3 linked regions of the Caenorhabditis elegans genome follow. The protein of the gene in region 3 purifies or fractionates together with the protein of the main gene of each other region. This does not show direct contact. Each region holds a gene or a part of one and is shown on either strand. Other genes may lie near its edges.

Region 1 (6,541 bases), on a different chromosome or scaffold from region 3:
TGTTTTCGAATCTCTAACTGTAATCTTACATTTTATTCCGAGTTGATAGTGAGTAAATTTTACCCATCAAACTCAGATAAAAACCTGCAAAGAAGTAAAATCAGTAGAGTTTTTTTGATTATCATAAAAGATAAAATCTGTGCTGCCAGCTGAACGAAATTGCCGAATAGTATACATTTTCGCAATTTCCAATCTATCAATATACAGGGTGCGCCAAAAGTATGGTAACACGTGAAGCGCTCTTTTACATGAGCTTTTCGCGCGACTGCCACTTCATACATACAATTTTCTATAGAATACTGATAGCTGAATAAATTTCCTTCAATTTGACCTAAAATTTGTAATGTTTCCCAATAAGGTGTAACCTTTATCACCTCGGCAATTTGACGAACCCTTTCGGCAAAACAAAAAAAAAGTTTTGGCACGCGGCACTTCCCACACAAACGCACATCCCACGCACGCCAATAATTTTCAGATCTATGATTTTTATGTTAAATTCAAAGTTAAAGAAGTGAAGAAGCGTTTTTAATTGTTTTTGTAGTATTTGAAAATTTTCTGTATCGACACTGGCGCCTAGAAAAAACCTTTGAATATTTCATGAATTCAACTTTGCGAAAATTACTCAGTTTTTTTTGTCTTCACAAGGTGTAACGACCCACAAAATCATCCGAGCTTAATCTTCTATTAAAATTCTTGAAAGTCAGATCAAAACGTTCCCCGAAAAATACTAAAATGAGTTTTCCTGCATACTGCTGCCGCCGCTCACATCTATCTTTCTGGCGACTGTGTCATTCAAGGCTTCTATGTCATTCAAACTACTGCCACAGTCATACCATGACAGAACTTTTTTGGATTTTTGTTTTCAAAGAATCTCTAGACCAAGAGCATTCTTTGAACTATAAAAACTTGTAAGATACTTGATGGGTTCCTCGAAAAAAAAAAAGTAAAAATCCCGCAGAATGCCGACTTGCGTGCCATCAAGAACGTGATCTCAAAAGTTCGGAAAGCCTGCAGCGATGCGGTTAGGGAAATTTTAAAAATTTTAAACGTTAATCTGGTCAGTATTTCATGGAGATCAAAATTTATACAAATTGATGTAATAACTCTCGCCACACGTGAAGTTACAGAGCTGCAAACGTGTTACCATACTTATGGCGCAGAAGAAAAATCAATCAACAATAACTTTATTTAGGATACACCTGCAAATATCCAAAACGATTTACGATCATAGTTTTTTCCCAAAAAAGTCTTTTCGAAAAATCCCTCAATCAAGGCGCCGGGTCTTTTTGAATACTCATTTAAGTACCAGTTCACCGGTCCGAAAAAGATAGTAGTGTTGCGCCGAATGATCAACACAAGTCCACATTCATCGCCGAACCGTTCGCAAAGCTTTTCCGCATAATCTCCTGGAGATTCTTCGAAGGATGCTCGATGCAACACCTCCACAGTCGTAGTAAGTACAGTGTACCGCATTTTCTATATTAGTCGCCACTACCATACTTTTATAATGTGTTTAACTGAAGACAATTAATGTTAATGTTAATGCAATATGAACTAATACGGAAAATACGGTATTTATTTAAAGAAAACACCATTAATTAATTTAAATCAATATTCAGCATTCATGACCTTCGTGAGTACGTGCGTGGTCTTCGCGAAACGTTCGGCGCCGAATGTGGCTTTGTGGGGATTATTCGAAAACATAGAAACATTCGCAAACGTTGGGTAAACTGTGACCCAGACGATTATCCCAGAGGACCCGGTGACTGTATTGAGAGATGTTTCAAGGGCAATGGTTCTGACTTTTTTTTTGGTAGTGGCGACTTTTTTCAGTACTGGTACGGTCAAAAGTTTGAGATAATTGCTGGTGTTCGATGAATATTTGTAGTTTTTATTCAAAACCGTTCCATTGTAATAAAAACTACGACATTTTATCTTTTTGCGATTTCTTTTTTTTTAAATAAATATTTTATCTAATACCTTCAAGGAAAACTAATGTATCTTTTACATGTTTTTTGTGAATAAATCTTTTCTTTCTTTTAAAATCTTTTAAAAAAATCAGAATTTATAGTTTAGTTCTTTAGTTCGGAACTCACTTACTATGCCAAAAATCGTGTTCCCTAAATGAGTCACTTGGTACTATTGACATATTTGAGTATTTTCAACACATAATTTTCTTTGACATTTTTGCCCTTTCCGAATTTTTATGAGGAAGACGCTAGCATTCCTGATAAAGAAAATGTCAGTATTCCTCATACTTAGTTCCACAAGAAAAATGGCATGCGTGTAATGTGTAGCACTAGAGTATAAAACAAGAACAGAGAAAAGAAAGATAAGACATCATTGCTTTTCTATTTGGAGACAGTTATATATTTCAAGATGGCTGGTAAGATTCTATTTTTAAAATAATATGAAATTGAATCGAATTCTCAATTTTCCAGCTGTAAACTACACGACGGGATTTATTTCGGTGGTCACTGGCTGCCTAGGAGTACATGGGGCTTATGCGTCCGCCGCAGTGGTTCCGCATTTAACTGCGATTTGTGCATGCGGTGCTATAGTTAGTGCATATGTTACGATGGCTGCATACAAAGATGACAAATCAACGGAGCTGATACTCAGCGAGCTCAAAACGCTCGACAAGAAGATTGGGGAACTGTCACATAAGATGGACGCGTTGTTCGGTGATCTTAAGTCATTTATAACAACGTCTCACTTTTACATGGTATGTTCGGAATAGATATTGGTTCAAAGTGTGGTTACGAAGCCTTCTGCGCAGGAAAAAAGTTAATCACGACCCTTTTTAACCTTCACCCTTTACCCTTACTCAAAATTTTGCAGAATGAGGTCGCTACAATCAAAACGTTGATGAAATACATGCAGGATACGATGAACAATCCTTGTAAATACACAAAAGAGCTATTTCGTGGCGCTGTGACGGATAATAAACCTTTGTGGATTGCAGAGGTAGGACTTATTAAGGAATCACAAGATTTCAATGTTAGACAGCTTCAAATTTCCAGCAAATGATTATAAAACTCGACCAGGAGGAAACGAATCCTCTCAAAATGGCAATGAACTGTGATCCTCTTCGACCAACGGAAACTTTTGAAAAATGGAGAAAAATAATCGACGGAGTGCTTGCCCAATGTGTAGGTACTCACTACATCCCTCACTAAATAAAGTGTATCATATTCAGCTGATTTTGGAGACGTACCAGAATGGAATGTTTTGCGATAAGAACATGATTGGACCGAGTCGTTTAAAGAAGCAAACCGAAGAATTACAACTGAAAATGAATAGATGGGCTGAAGAATACCGTCAAGATCACTCGTACTGGGACGATGGAGTCTTAAGTTTAATCCATAATGTGCAAGACAATAATGAGGGAAGTGAAAATATACGAAATATTTTGACTAAAGAATTGGGCAAGATCATGACAAAGTGAGTATTTTTGTAAATTGACAAGGGACATAAAAGGGTAATTGTGTATTATAACTTTACTTTTTTCAAATTAAATTATGACCGGGGTAGCAATTATTTTATCTGTTAAGTTATTTAAAACGTGAATAGTATTTCCATTATTAGGCTTACAAAGGAAGTATTCCAATTTAACCCCGGTCAATTTAGGCACTTTGAACTGGAAAGAAGTCGCTCTGAAAAATTTTCAATGCATTTTTCACGATTTTCGCAGCCCGTAAAATTCCTCCAAATGTTGATTTTTGCAGATTTCTGATGATTTCTAGGCTTTTGAGGGCCAACCAATTTTTTTCTGGAATTTTTTTAATTTGTGAAAAAATATAAAAGATTTTGGTCCCGAAAGACCAAAAAAGCCAAAAAATCTGCGTTTTCCGAAAATTTATTCAAAAAAAGACAGCCCTGCTGTGAACGTCAGTAATTTTTCTCACATCCACTTACAAATGTAACCATTTTTTGCACACCATATCGCAAACAGTCAGATTTCAAATTGATTTTCCAAAATATTTCAGCCACAAATTTTACGTGATCGTCTACGATTTCTGTGACGGTTCATCTGAGGAGTACCAATTCACTTCATACAGCTATTTCAAACGCAATTTTAAATCTTCTTTCAATCGAAACGGGTGCAATGCTTTTGTTTTACGAAGCCTCAGAACCCAAGATTGCAAAAGGCACGAGGAGAACCTTCAAAGAAAGCTGCAAGCTGCCCTTCCAATGGAATACGAGTTTGTATTTTGCGGCTTAATGGCATAACATTTGATCCAAACATTTTTTCAGCTACAGATTCAAATTGATTGATTATGCGGAAAAGCTTTGCAAACGGTTCGGCGATGAATGTGGACTTGTGTTGATCATTCGGCGCAACACTACTATCTTTTTCGGACCGGTGAACTGGTACTTAAATGAGTATTCAAAAAGACCCGGCGCCTTGATTGAGGGATTTTTCGAAAAGACTTTTTTGGGAAAAAACTATGATCGTAAATCGTTTTGGATATTTGCAGGTGTATCCTAAATAAAGTTATTGTTGATTGATTTTTCTTCTGCGCCATAAGTATGGTAACACGTTTGCAGCTCTGTAACTTCACGTGTGGCGAGAGTTATTACATCAATTTGTATAAATTTTGATCTCCATGAAATACTGACCAGATTAACGTTTAAAATTTTTAAAATTTCCCTAACCGCATCGCTGCAGGCTTTCCGAACTTTTGAGATCACGTTCTTGATGGCACGCAAGTCGGCATTCTGCGGGATTTTTACTTTTTTTTTTTCGAGGAACCCATCAAGTATCTTACAAGTTTTTATAGTTCAAAGAATGCTCTTGGTCTAGAGATTCTTTGAAAACAAAAATCCAAAAAAGTTCTGTCATGGTATGACTGTGGCAGTAGTTTGAATGACATAGAAGCCTTGAATGACACAGTCGCCAGAAAGATAGATGTGAGCGGCGGCAGCAGTATGCAGGAAAACTCATTTTAGTATTTTTCGGGGAACGTTTTGATCTGACTTTCAAGAATTTTAATAGAAGATTAAGCTCGGATGATTTTGTGGGTCGTTACACCTTGTGAAGACAAAAAAAACTGAGTAATTTTCGCAAAGTTGAATTCATGAAATATTCAAAGGTTTTTTCTAGGCGCCAGTGTCGATACAGAAAATTTTCAAATACTACAAAAACAATTAAAAACGCTTCTTCACTTCTTTAACTTTGAATTTAACATAAAAATCATAGATCTGAAAATTATTGGCGTGCGTGGGATGTGCGTTTGTGTGGGAAGTGCCGCGTGCCAAAACTTTTTTTTTGTTTTGCCGAAAGGGTTCGTCAAATTGCCGAGGTGATAAAGGTTACACCTTATTGGGAAACATTACAAATTTTAGGTCAAATTGAAGGAAATTTATTCAGCTATCAGTATTCTATAGAAAATTGTATGTATGAAGTGGCAGTCGCGCGAAAAGCTCATGTAAAAGAGCGCTTCACGTGTTACCATACTTTTGGCGCACCCTGTATATTGATAGATTGGAAATTGCGAAAATGTATACTATTCGGCAATTTCGTTCAGCTGGCAGCACAGATTTTATCTTTTATGATAATCAAAAAAACTCTACTGATTTTACTTCTTTGCAGGTTTTTATCTGAGTTTGATGGGTAAAATTTACTCACTATCAACTCGGAATAAAATGTAAGATTACAGTTAGAGATTCGAAAACAATAATGCTTCGTGTTTTTGTGAGATGTCTCCTGGGGGAAGTTTCTTGGAACATTTGGTGATTCGAGAATTTTGAAATTACAGTAAAATAAAAGATTATTACATCGTGGTTGATTATATACGTTCTCACGTTGTCAAATCAATCGTTATGCAACAAAATAGTTATGAATTTTGAGCCGAGACTCATTCCCCCTAAATACCATTCAATTGTATCTAACAATTTTACATTCTAAATTTCTTCCGATTTGAATAAATATGTTTAACATCTATTCCGTTTTGTTTTATGAAGATTGTAGTAGACAAGTAGTAGAAAACTCTAATTCACAATCACCTGATTTTTATAGAGGGATAGAGGACAACAGAGCAAGCGGGAAAGATGTAGGTCACAATAGGAAACAACTTCCATGGTAGGCAAGCGCGTTTTCAGGGACCTGCCCGCCAGCCTTCCTGCTCATTGTTTGCATTTTTACGTGAATTTACAAATTTATTATATAATTTTCTCATTTCTATAAATTTGATAAATATCAAATCACAAATTAAAAAAAGAATCACGTATGCTTTACTAGTTAGCATAAGAAGCGGGTTGTGGCGAGAGGCAGGCGGAGGTTGTCTTAAGGTCAGGCAGGCAGGTGTTTTAACGCCTACATGGAAGCTCCAGGTCACAAAAAAATATATAGTATGTAACACCTATTGTTCTATTAACTGCTCGGGCTTCTCGATTTTCGCCATTTTTCTCGAAATTTTAAAAAATGTCATATTTTTCATGAAAACGTGTAGCTAAGCTCTGTGAGCTCATAAGCAGCTAGATTAAGCATATTCAGTCGAAGAGATAAGTCCCCGGAAGGCATTAGTTTTCATGAAAA
Region 2 (5,591 bases), 2.6 Mb from region 3:
TGATTTCGCGTTGTTCGTACTTGGAGAGAAGCTTGCTGCTCGTCTGAAATTATGGAAAATTTGAATTTTTTGGGATTTTTTATTAAAAAATTATTAGTTTTCATCAATTTTCAGGATTTTTCATTGGAAAAAAGCCTGTTTTTTATTTTTTTCTTTAAATTTGAAACCCCTAAAAATAGAGAAACAACTTTTTTTTTGTCAATTTTTCTTTGAAAATTTGAATTTTTTGGGATTATTTTCTAAAAAAAATGAGTTTTTTCAAAAGGTTTTTTGGCTTTTTTTACTGAAATTTTCAAATTTTTGCCTGAATTTCATAAATCTCACCCCAATAAGTGCCTTTTGATTGTCATATTCGGAATGTGTATTCCCTAAAACTGACGAAGAATGTGCCAGCGTCGTCATTGTCTGCTCTCCGCCGCTCACGAGCTCCGCCATTTTTGCGTTGAGATCTGTTAGGGCTTTTGCGCGCTGAAAAATAATTTTTTTTCAAAAAATTTGTTTGGAGAAAATCGATTTTGGGTCTGCTAAATATTTAGCAGACCATACTTGGGTCTGCTAAACATTGAGCAGACCATACTTGGGTCTGCTAAACATTGAGCAGACCATACTTGGGTCTGCTAAACATTGAGCAGACCATACTTGGGTCTGCTAAACATTGAGCAGACCATACTTGGGTCTGCTAAACATTTAGCAGACCATACTTGGGTCTGCTAATCATTTAGCAGACCATACTTGGGTTTGCTAATCATTTAGCAGACCATACTTGGGTTTGCTAAATAATTAGCAGACCATACTTGGGTCTGCTACATATTTAGCAGACCATACTTGGGTCTGCTAAATAATTAGCAGGCCATTCTTGGTAATGAACATATTGAATTTCAAACATCCTCTGGCCGAAAAATGTGAAAAATCCACCAAAAAAGCGATGAAAACCTCGATTTTAGAACAAAAACCGAGTTTTCTCCGGTTTTTTTGCCACAATTGTAACGAATTTTAACGATTTTCTAGCTAAAAAAGCTTAAGAAATTCGTAAAATCCATTGAAAAAACTCAATTTTGAACAGAAATTCGAAAAAAATGAGAGTCTGCAAAACATAAAGATGCGAAAATCCGCGTTTTTATGGACATTTATCGATTTTTTTGGATGTTCAAGCTCCATACCACTTGTGGAGCCGCAATTTTAATATTTCCAGTTGCCATAGTCCCATCTCGCTTCATCAGCAGTGATCTCCGTTCTTCCTCGACTGAAAATTCAAATTTTTTCTCAATTTTTCTCTGATTTTTTGGAATTTTTTTTACCAATATCCTTTCGAATTTCTTCGGATCCCTCTTTCAACTTTCTCTGCAGAAAATTCATTTGTTTTTCGTGGCTTTCCACGTGGATTTTCACGGTTTTTTGGTCGTTTAGCGATGGAATCTGGAATTTTTTGGGTTTTTAGGAGAAAATTCTGGAAAATTCAGACGATTACATCTTTGCCGAGGGCTTTTAGGTCTGAAATTCGAGTTTGCATAGTTCTGAGCACCTTCTGTGCCTCTCTGACGTCATTCGCTAGCTGTTTCTTGTCATTTGAGCCATTTCTAAAATAAAAATGTTAAAATACTCGAAAATACTGAAAAAAAAACCAAGAAATATCACATTTTTAAACATAAAAAAAGTGATTTTTCGAATATTTCTTGGAGAAAAATCACATTTTTCACATTTTTTTCCAGAAAAATGCGAAATTTTCCATTTTTCTGCATTAAAAGCGATTTTTCAGATTATTTTGGGTATTTTAAAGTGCAAATTCCGTTTTTTTACCCAATTCTGACAACTTCCACCTTCTCCTTGGCAATTTCGAATATTCTATTGAGGCCCACGTGGAGGTACTCGGCCTCTTCCATTTTTTGCCGGCCCGTTTTTTGATCCATCTGGAAAAGTTTACAGATAAATAATAAAAAATAAACAATAGAGCCACGTGGCAAAATATATATATATATACATTTAATGGAAAAACCACGGTTTTCAGTGAGAAAAACTAATTTTAAAAGAAAAAAAAACAGAAAAATTCATGTTAAAGCTATGAAATATGAAAATTTGAAGAAAAAAAACAAGAAAACTAGCTACAGCTATAACAAAACATTCAAAAATGCAAAAAAATTAAAAATTTCAGTTAAATATTAAATCCGGCGGCTCGCATGCAGGCTTTATGGGCTTCGATCAGTTTTCCGCACTTCTCCTCGCCGTTTTCGATGATGCAAGCGTCACGGACCTGAAAATTGGGGTTATTTCATTTGTTTTGAATGGAAAATCATTTGAAAATGACGAAAAAGTGTGAAAATCTGGGGTTTTTAGCTAAGGAAAACGGGATTAGTGTAGTTTTGGGTCTGTTAAATATTTAGCAGACCCATTTTTTTTCGAATTTCTGTTCCAAATTGAGTTTTTTCAACGAATTTCACGAATTTTTCAGGTTTTCTAGTCAGAAAATCGCGGAAATTCTCGATTTTTGCTGTAAAAACCAAGAAAATTCCGTTTTTGAGGAAAAAATTAAGATTTTTCGAAATTGGGTCTGCAAAATGTTTAGCAGACCAAAATTGGGTATGCTAAATATTTAGCAGACCATACTGGGGTCTGCTAAATATTTAGCAGACCATACTGGGGTCTGCTAAATATTTAGCAGACCATACTTGGGTCTGCTAAATAATTAGCAGACCAAAGTTGGGTATGCTAAATATTTAGCAGACCAAAAATGGGTCTGCTAAATATTTAGCAGACCCATTTTTTTTCGAATTTATGTTCAAAATTGAGTTTTTTCCCAGAAATTCTCGATTTTTGATGCAAAAACTCGGAAAAATCAGTTTTGGATAGTCGAAATGTAAAATTTAGCGATTTTCAACCGCAAAATTGGAATTTTTCGCCATTTTTCCATTTTCCATCAAAACCTCACTCGTTTCGTTTCAGGACACGCGCAGCACGCTTTCAGCTTCTTCTCCGGTGCCACGCTGCCGGCTTCTGTGGATTTTTGTGGCTCTGCTGGCATTTTTTTGGGTGCTAAAATTATAGATTTTACAGATAAAAATGGAGTTTTAAAGATATTAAAAACGACATTCGCCAAAAATTTTCAGAAAATCGGATAAAAATTGCAGCTACAACTCCGTCAATATAATTCATGGAAAGAGTATCGTTGCAAAAAAAATGGGGGTCAAAGGGGGGAAATTTCAATGAATAATATCGATAATAAATAGGCAAAACACACACAAATCAGGCGGAAAATCTACTATTCTGATCGGTTTTTTTGGGGTGAGGATGGTACGAATTGGTAAAAAGAAATACCAGTGGTGCGGGGGGTTGGGGACGAAAATTTCTCGGAAAAAAATGGAAGAAATAAGGGATTTTTAGGACACAAACTTCAAGACAAGAGGCTCACAGAAAAAATTCAAAAAAATCGAATAAAAAAGAATTTAAGAGAAAATGTAGACCGTCGAGCGATTGATGTCCCAATTGTTGCAGCTGAGCACGCTGACAGCCTCTTCCTCACGGACTCCCATATCCTTGAGCTTGTCGACGAGAGCCTGGTATCCGGCGTTTTTCACGGCTCCCTTTGCGAATTTTGTCGTCCAGTACTCGGCGGTGGCCTGAAAAATGGTGGAAATTTAGTATATTAAGAGCATATTAGGCTATTATTCAGTTTATGTTGTCTATGTTTGTCTATTTTCTAGGCTACCTAAAGTTTTCAAGCGTGGAAATTGAGAAAATTCGAATGAAAACCAATTTTTTTTTTGAGATTTCTCGAGTTTTTACACTCACTGGAAACAACGAATTTTCGGGGAAATTCGAGTTTTTAGACTAAAAACAACTTCGCCAAATTTGTTGAGTTTTGGGTCTGCTAAACTTTTTTATAATTTCTTTTTGAAAAACAAATTTCGATATGAGCTGAAAAACTGATTTTTCTCGGCTTCTGGGACAAAAAGTGATGAATTTGAACGATTTCCTGGTTGAAAAACAAGAAAAAACCAGTAAATTCCGCGAAAAAAACTAAATTTAAAGGATAAATACGGGATTAGGGTCTGCTAAATATTTAGCAGACCATACTTGGGTCTGCTAATTATTTAGCAGACCATACTTGGGTCTGCTAATTATTTAGCAGACCATACTTGGGTCTGCTAAATATTTAGCAGACCATCGAAAACCACGTGGCGTTTCTACAAGCCTGCTAATTAGTTGGCAGACCCAAATTCTAAAGAAAATCGGCCAAATTCTGAAATTTCAGGGCAAAAATCAATAATTTTCCGAGAAAATCGTGCATTTCAGTGTAAAACAGTCAGAATTGTCTCCAAAATTCGGGAATTAACGAATTTTGCACGTTTCCCATCGAATTTTCTCAATTTTGACGCTTCAAAACTCGAGTTGGCCTGAAAAATGGGAAATTATAGATAATTTTTGGGGCAAAATACGCAAAAAAACACACAAAATAAGGGAAGATTTGGGTCTGCTAATTACTTAATTACTTAGCAGACCCATATTGATTTTTTAATCGGATTTCGCAATATTTTCCCCATTTTTCCGCGAATTTTCTGAATTTTCCACGCTGCTACCTTGAAAACTGCTGGCTTCTCCATGTATTGCTTGGCGACGACGGCATCTTGAGGATCCTTGGGCTCCGGTGTGCACATCAACGCCTGAATCGACAGGAGAACCGTGCGAAGAGTCAGCGAAGCGGCCCTGAAGTTGAAAATAAATTAAATTTTCCGATTTTAAAATAATAATCGCAATATTACCATTGATCCTTAAGAATATCGAGGCAAATGACGCCGGTCTGCGAGCTGACATTCGGGTGCCAGATTTTTGTGCTGAACTTGACCTGAAAAACCGCGATTTTTACACAAATTTCGACAATTTTCAAGCTTTCCAGGCAGAAAAACTCGTACATTTGGTGGCGAGAATGGATATTGGTCTGGAATCTTAATATCCAAATCGAACATTCCACCGGCGTATGGAGTGTCTGGTGGACCGCGGATGTGTCCCTGAAAACCGATAAAAATTGAGATTTCCGACACACAATTCGCGGCGTTTTACCTTGATTTCGGTGAGATTCTCGTTCAATATCTCGATCATAATTCCGGTTTCGCTGATTTCCGAGTTTGTGACGACCTCTTTGCATTCTCGTTGGAGTCTGTTGAATGCTATGTTCGACATGGTCTGAAAACGATGGAAAATAGTGGAAAAACTCTGAAAAATCGACGAAAATCATGAAGTTCAAGGAATTATCGAAAAAGCTTCGAGAAAGTCTGAAATTATCATCAAAATTATTCAAACACCAACTCATGATAAACAGGGCGCGCCGCGGAATTTCGGAGCATCGTTTGCAACTGAAATTTTTGTTTTTCCCCGAATTTCATCGATTTTTCATCGTTTTTCGTGAATAAAAATCAAAAATCATGTAGAAAAATGTTGAAAAACCAATTTTTATGCGAAAAATTGCTTAAATCACAGTAAAATTGAACAAAAACCCGGAAAAACCGGAGAAAACCGTGCGTTAAGTCGGAGCATCGTTGTCGCCGAGAAAAAACGGGTTCAAACGATCAAACCCGTGATCGGAAGTATCGATTCACAGA
Region 3 (6,261 bases):
AAATCAATAATTTTTGAAGTAAAATCAATGAATAATCGATAATTAATCGAAAAGATCGAAATTTTTTTTCAAAATATCGATAATTATCGAGAAATCCGATAATTTCTTTAAAAAATCGATAATTTTTAAAAAGAAAATTCAGTAATTTCTCATAGAAATCATCAATTTTTTGGAAGAATCGGTGATTCTTGAAGAAAAAAAATCGATAATTCTAACTTCCGAATTTATCGATTTTTCGGCAACTCACATTCCATTTTTCTGAATAACTGCAAACCAATGTCGTCCCCTGTACAATGTGAGGAGGGTCCGTGATGGAATATTAAAAACCACTGCTTTCACATTTTCCATATTGATTTTTTCGACTGAAACACGCTTGTCGAACCACATTACCTGGAAAAAATCGATAATTATTGATTTTTCGAAGATGCGGAAGATCGGAGCATCGTTGTTGTTCACCTTTAAATCGTGTTTTTGAAGCGCCGCCATCAGGATATTCGCATCGTAATTTCCGGTTCCTATCCAGGATCTGAAAAAAAATTGTTGAAATTTGATTTTTGAAAAAATAAATAATTTTTCCATTTTTTCAAGAAATTATCGATTTTTCCGGAAATTATCGATTTTTTTCAAGAAATTATCGGTTTTTCCAGAAATTATCGATTTTTCCAGAAATTATCGATTTTTCCGGAAATTATCGATTTTTCCGGAAATTATCAATTTTTCCAGAAATTATTGATTTTTCCAGAAATTATCGATTTTTCCAGAAATTATCGATTTTTCCGGAAATTATCGATTTTTCCGGAAATTATCAATTTTTCCAGAAATTATTGATTTTTCCAGAAATTATCGATTTTTCCGGAAATTATCGATTTTTCAGGAAATTATCAATTTTTCTGAAATTATCGATTTTTCCAGAAATTATCGATTTTTCCGGAAATTATCGAGTTTTCCGGAAATTATCGATTTTTCCGGAAATTATCAGTTTTTTCTGAAATTATCGATTTTTCCAGAAATTATCGATTTTTCCGGAAATTATCAATTTTTCTGAAATTATCGATTTTTCCAGAAATTATCGATTTTTCCGGAAATTATCGATTTTTCCGGAAATTATCAATTTTTTCTGAAATTATCGATTTTTCCAGAAATTATCGATTTTTCCAGAAATTATCGATTTTTCCGGAAATTATCGATTTTTCAGGAAACTATCGATTTTTCCGGAAATTATCGATTTTTCCGGAAATTATCGATTTTTCCGGAAATTATCGATTTTTCCAGAAATAATCGATTTTTCCGGAAATTATCGATTTTTCCGGAAATTATCAATTTTTCGGCGTACCTATGTGGATTAAACCATTTACTCTCATTAAACGCATAGCAAATTTCGTCCATTTTTGTCGGATCAAATTCGGATTTTTGTAGAATATTGTTAACCGTATGGATAAGGCAGTATTGAAGACGTTGCTTTTCGTGATAAATTTCTGGTGATGACGTCATCTGGAATATAAATCTAATTGGGGTATTGGATGCTGAAATTTTTTCTATTTTTAAAATGTCGTCGAAATCGTAAATATTTTTTTTGCAGTTTATCGATTTTCTTCTGGAAAAAAATCGATAAAATATTGATTTTTATTCAAAAATTTCATGAAAATTATCGATTTTCTATGACTAAATTATTAACTTTTGTGCGAAACAAAATCGAATTTTATTTGAAAATCGAAATTCGAATTTAGTATTGATTTTTCAGAAAATTTATTCAAAATATCGATTTTTCCTTTTTTTTAATTCAAAAAAAAATCAAAAATCAATTAAAAAAAATTAAGCATAAAATAGGGCACATCCTCTTTTTGAAAAAAAATCAAAAAATCAAAAAATCCATCACCAAATCCTTTATATAAACTGAACAAAATTTTTTTTTTAAATAACAAAAACCATAACCCCAATTCAAAAAATCGTCTAAATATCACAACAAAATGGCGGAATTTTCAGCACAATAAATAGCCAAAAAATCGATAATTTAGTCTTCCTCAGTGAAAAAGTCCTTGACGAGATGCTTATTGGCAATTTGTCTCTCCAAAAGACGTTTTGCCTTGTTTCCAACTTCCAAAAGTGTCGGAATACATGTCAATTTGAGTGTTGGATCAGTACGGAATCCGACAGCTGGGTCACGCCATCTGAAAATTTGGAAATTTAGAGATTTTTTGCAATTTTTTTCAAAATAATTTTTTCCGAAAATTTTTTCTTTGAGAATTTTTCAAAATTTTGACACAGTATTTCGTAATTTCATTGATTTTTTTTTCAAAAAAATTGATTTTTTATAATTTTATAGATTTTTCGTAATTTTATAGATTTTTCATAATTTTATTGATTTTTTCTTTTAAAAAAAATTGATTTTTTATAATTTCATTGATTTTTTATAATTTTATTGATTTTTTCCAGAAAAAATTGATTTTTTTTATGATTTTATTGATTTTTTCTTTAAAAAATTGGTTTTTTTAAATAATTTTATTGATGTTTCTTTAAAAAACAATTGATTTTTTATAATTTTATTGATTTTTTCTTTAAAAAAATTTATTTTTTATAATTTTATTGATTTTTTCTAAAAAAAATTGATTTTTTTTGGAAAAAATCAATAAAATTATAAAAAAATGAATTTTTCCAAAAAAAAAAATGATTTGTCGTAATTTTATTGATTTAAAAATAATTGATTTTTTATAATTTCATTGATTTTTTATAATTTCATTGATTTTTTATAATTTTATTGATTTTTTATAATTTTATTGATTTTTTATATTTTTATTGATTTTTTTTTTCAAAAAATTGATTTTTCGTAATGTTATCGACTTTTTCCAAAAAAAATTTGATTTTTATAATTTTATTGATTTTTTATAATTTTTTGATTTTTTAATAATTTTATTGATTTTTCGTAATTTTATTGATTTTTTCCAAAAAATATTGATTTTTCGTAATTTTATCGATTTTTTTTTACAAAAATCCACGAACACTTCACGATTTCCGACGAAAACAGTGACAAAATGGACATCGAGTCCGGCGACGGCGGCGTCCTTGATCACTTCTTCGACAACTGGCTCAGCTGAAATTCAAATATATTATTTTTTTAATTTATAGGCAGGCGTGAGGTGAGCAGTAGGTAGGCATAGGTATGCGGTAGGCAAAGGCAGGCACACCGTAGGTAGGCATGTAGACTGTAGATAGGTGAGTAGGTAAGCACAGAAGCGGCAGAGGCTGTTAGCAGATAGGTACGCAGGGGATGAGCTAGGCGGGTAGGTAGGCAGGTAGGTAGGCCATCAAAATCTCGTACCAACAACACAATCCGGGCACCAAGACTCTCCGGTTGTCAGAATTTTGGATCCAGTGAACAGAGCGACGACTCGTTTTCCTTTTCCAATCGATTTCAGTGTCTCCTGAAATGCTTCGTATCCCTGAGCAGTGTAGTGTTTCAGTCCGGTCATCTGGAGAAAAAATTCATGAAATTTTCAAATTTACCACAAATTTTCAACAAAAAAATATTCGGAAGAGACATGAAAATCCTTTAAAAAACCCGAAAAATGATAGGATTTTATTTTTTTTTCTGCACTTTTGCACAAAATTTTTGAGCCATATTCCAAAATTCAAATTTTAAAATTTTTTTCTGAAAATTGGAAAGAAAAATTTTAATTTTCCCAAAATTTTCAGTGTTTTTAGGAATTTCTTATCGAAAAATTGAGAAAAAAAAACTATAAAATATTGAAAATATTTATTACGGGAACTCAAAATTTTGAGAATGCGTATTTCACAACATATTTGACGCGCAAAATATCTCGTAGCGAAAACTACAGTAATCCTTTAAATGACTACTGTAGCGCGCGGTTGTGTCGATTTACGGGATCTCGATTCTGTTAAATGAGTTGAATCATTTATTTATCGAGTTCCCGTAAATTGACACAACCGAGCTACAGTAGTCATTTAAAGGATTACTGTAGTTTTCGCTACGAGATATAGTTATATTTTGCGCGTCAAATATGTTGTGAAATACGCATTCTCAAAATTTTGAGTTCCCGTAATAAATATTTTCAATAGTTTATAGTTTTTTTTTCTCAATTTTTCGATAAGAAATTTCTAGAAACACTGAAAAATTTTGCGAAATTTAGAATTAATTTGCGGCAAAATTCATATTTTCGAAAAAAAATTAAAAAATCAAATTTCAATTTTTTTTCTAGAAAATTTTAGAGAAAAAAATAATAAAGTAAATAAAATCTTCGGAATTTCAAAAACCGATAAAAAGCAACAAAAAAAATTAATAAAAAAATTCAAAAATCCCCAATAATTTATTCCATTCAAAACAAGGTAATCTATTTAAGCAATCTCTTGAGCTCAGGCTTCGTCGATGCATATTCATTGATTGTAACACGGGCAGTTGCTCCAATTCCAACACGAACAGCAGTTCTAGACAACCAATGAGCATTCGAATGGATTCCATCACAAATTCCACGCATTTTCTTCACTTTTAGAAGAGATGAGCACAAAAGAATGACAGTTATAAAGCTGAATGTTATTGGAACAATTGAAATCAGCACAATCCATGAACTCATTTGCTCGAATTTCTGCAAAAAAAAAGAGGTTTCGGGGGGTTTTTACCTACGCCTGCCTTATGCCTAAACCTTTTGCTTTTGAAAATACGAAAAAAAAACGGAAAATTGGCGAAAAATGGCTGCCTACTCGCGTGCCTACCATTAAATCAATTAGTATTTCTTAACTTTTACTTGGAAAAAAAAACGAAAAAATCGTTGCCTACCTGGCGCCTACAAGCGTGCCTACTAGAAAGTTGGTATAAAATCACATTTAAAAAAAAACAATCACATCACATTTGCCCACCTGCAAGGCGACCAACGCCTATTGGTTCGGCGTACCTGCAGGCAGATAGTTAGGGCCTGGTAGGTTGGTTTCGGTAAAAAAAAAGCCATACCTCAGCACATCCGTCGACCATTTTGTTTCCCGTTCCTTTTTGTGCAAAAAACGTGTGAAGAACAGGAGAAAATAATAAAGAAATGATTGAAAATTGGACGGGGGATAACTATTTTCAAAATTTCGAGAAAAAAAAAACGTAAAATTTTAAAGAAATGAGAACAGCCACGCGGCACAACAACAACAACAAGAAAAGTGGAGAAAAATCAATAAAATTAACGAAAAAAAAAACAACGTGAAGCAGAAGAAATGCCTGCCTACGCCTGTAGGCAGGCAGGTAGGTAGGCACCGATTAATCTCTCCATTCAACGTGAACCTGATCCGTTCTATATCGCTGGGTGGTTGTGGTTTTACGAAGGTCGAAACGCATTCCGGAGGCTGAAATTGACTTAAAATTACAATTTTTGGGATAAAATTATGTCAAAAATCGCGAATTTTTGCATTTTTCGGTTAATTTTTTAGTCAAAATGCGATTTTCAGATAAAAATAAGTGAAAAAATTGATTATTAATGCAATTTTCGAATGAAAATCCTGGTTTTTTCAGTGAAAAATCGATTTTCCAGGTGAAAATAAGTGAGAAAATTGACTTTTAATGCAATTTTCAGACAAAATCCCTTGTTTTTTCAGCGAAAAAATCGATTTTTCAGGTGAAAATTCGCAATTTCTTCAATAAAACACACACTGCATACCCAACATGAGCTCGCCGGCTCTTGCAATCATTGCACCGTTATCAATACAGAATCGTTCATCAGTTGCAAATAAGTGAGCACCTCTTTCCGCACACATTGCTGATGCCATTTCCTGGAAGAAAATCGGTCAGAAATTCGATGATTTTTCCAGTAAAAATATTCAAATTTTTGAACTCAGCGCGGCGCCGAGACCTTCAATTTGACACCCAACAATTGGGTCTCGCAACGAAATATCGATTTTCCGACTAAAAAAACTTAATTTCAAAGTATTTTTCGCAAAAAATCAAAGGGAATTATTTATTGCCTCTTTTCAATTTCTTGTACGAGAAAAATTCAACACTCAAATAGTCAAGACGTGGGCGGAGCCTATTTTCGAAAAGTCGATATGTGGGCGGAGCTTGCTTTCAGTAAGTCAAGGTAGGGGCGGAGCCTATTTTAACAAAAAAACCAAAGTTTGGGCGGAGCCTATTTTCGAAAAGTCGAGAGGTGGGCGGAGCCATTAAAAAGTCGAGATGTGGGCGGAGCTTGTTTTCAGTAAGTCAAGGTTGGGGCGGAGCCTATTTTAACAAAAAAAACCAAAGTTTGGGCGGAGCCATTAAAAAGTCGAGATGTG

Evidence for each region.
Region 1: the proteins of txdc-17 (region 3) and Y94H6A.2 fractionate together in Caenorhabditis elegans (co-fractionation; one large-scale study listed by BioGRID). This does not show direct contact.
Region 2: the proteins of txdc-17 (region 3) and cox-17 fractionate together in Caenorhabditis elegans (co-fractionation; one large-scale study listed by BioGRID). This does not show direct contact.

Annotation. Positions count from the first base shown.
Region 1 is NC_003282.8:2,727,913-2,734,453, forward strand, and holds Y94H6A.2 (DUF4781 domain-containing protein), read left to right. Parts: upstream 1-2,379; coding exon 2,380-2,386; intron 2,387-2,441; coding exon 2,442-2,725; intron 2,726-2,841; coding exon 2,842-2,967; intron 2,968-3,023; coding exon 3,024-3,152; intron 3,153-3,199; coding exon 3,200-3,444; intron 3,445-3,989; coding exon 3,990-4,205; intron 4,206-4,257; coding exon 4,258-4,492; 3' UTR 4,493-4,510; downstream 4,511-6,541.
Region 2 is NC_003281.10:188,422-194,012, reverse strand, and holds cox-17 (Cytochrome c oxidase copper chaperone), read right to left. Parts: upstream 3,028-5,591; 5' UTR 3,017-3,027; coding exon 2,924-3,016; intron 2,249-2,923; coding exon 2,150-2,248; 3' UTR 2,032-2,149; downstream 1-2,031. Other genes in the region: sec-20 (Sec20 C-terminal domain-containing protein), read right to left, coding at 1-43, 325-468, 1,161-1,243, 1,299-1,416, 1,469-1,577, 1,798-1,907; ubc-20 (UBC core domain-containing protein), read right to left, coding at 3,438-3,611, 4,572-4,698, 4,755-4,837, 4,905-5,000, 5,053-5,172.
Region 3 is NC_003281.10:2,831,869-2,838,129, reverse strand, and holds txdc-17 (Thioredoxin domain-containing protein 17), read right to left. Parts: upstream 3,468-6,261; coding exon 3,317-3,467; intron 3,089-3,316; coding exon 2,998-3,088; intron 2,169-2,997; coding exon 2,012-2,168; 3' UTR 1,869-2,011; downstream 1-1,868. Other genes in the region: josd-1 (ubiquitinyl hydrolase 1), read right to left, coding at 248-390, 457-526, 1,334-1,491; Y71H2AM.29 (G_PROTEIN_RECEP_F1_2 domain-containing protein), read right to left, coding at 4,347-4,598, 4,961-4,981; Y71H2AM.1 (N(6)-L-threonylcarbamoyladenine synthase), read right to left, coding at 5,252-5,337, 5,649-5,760.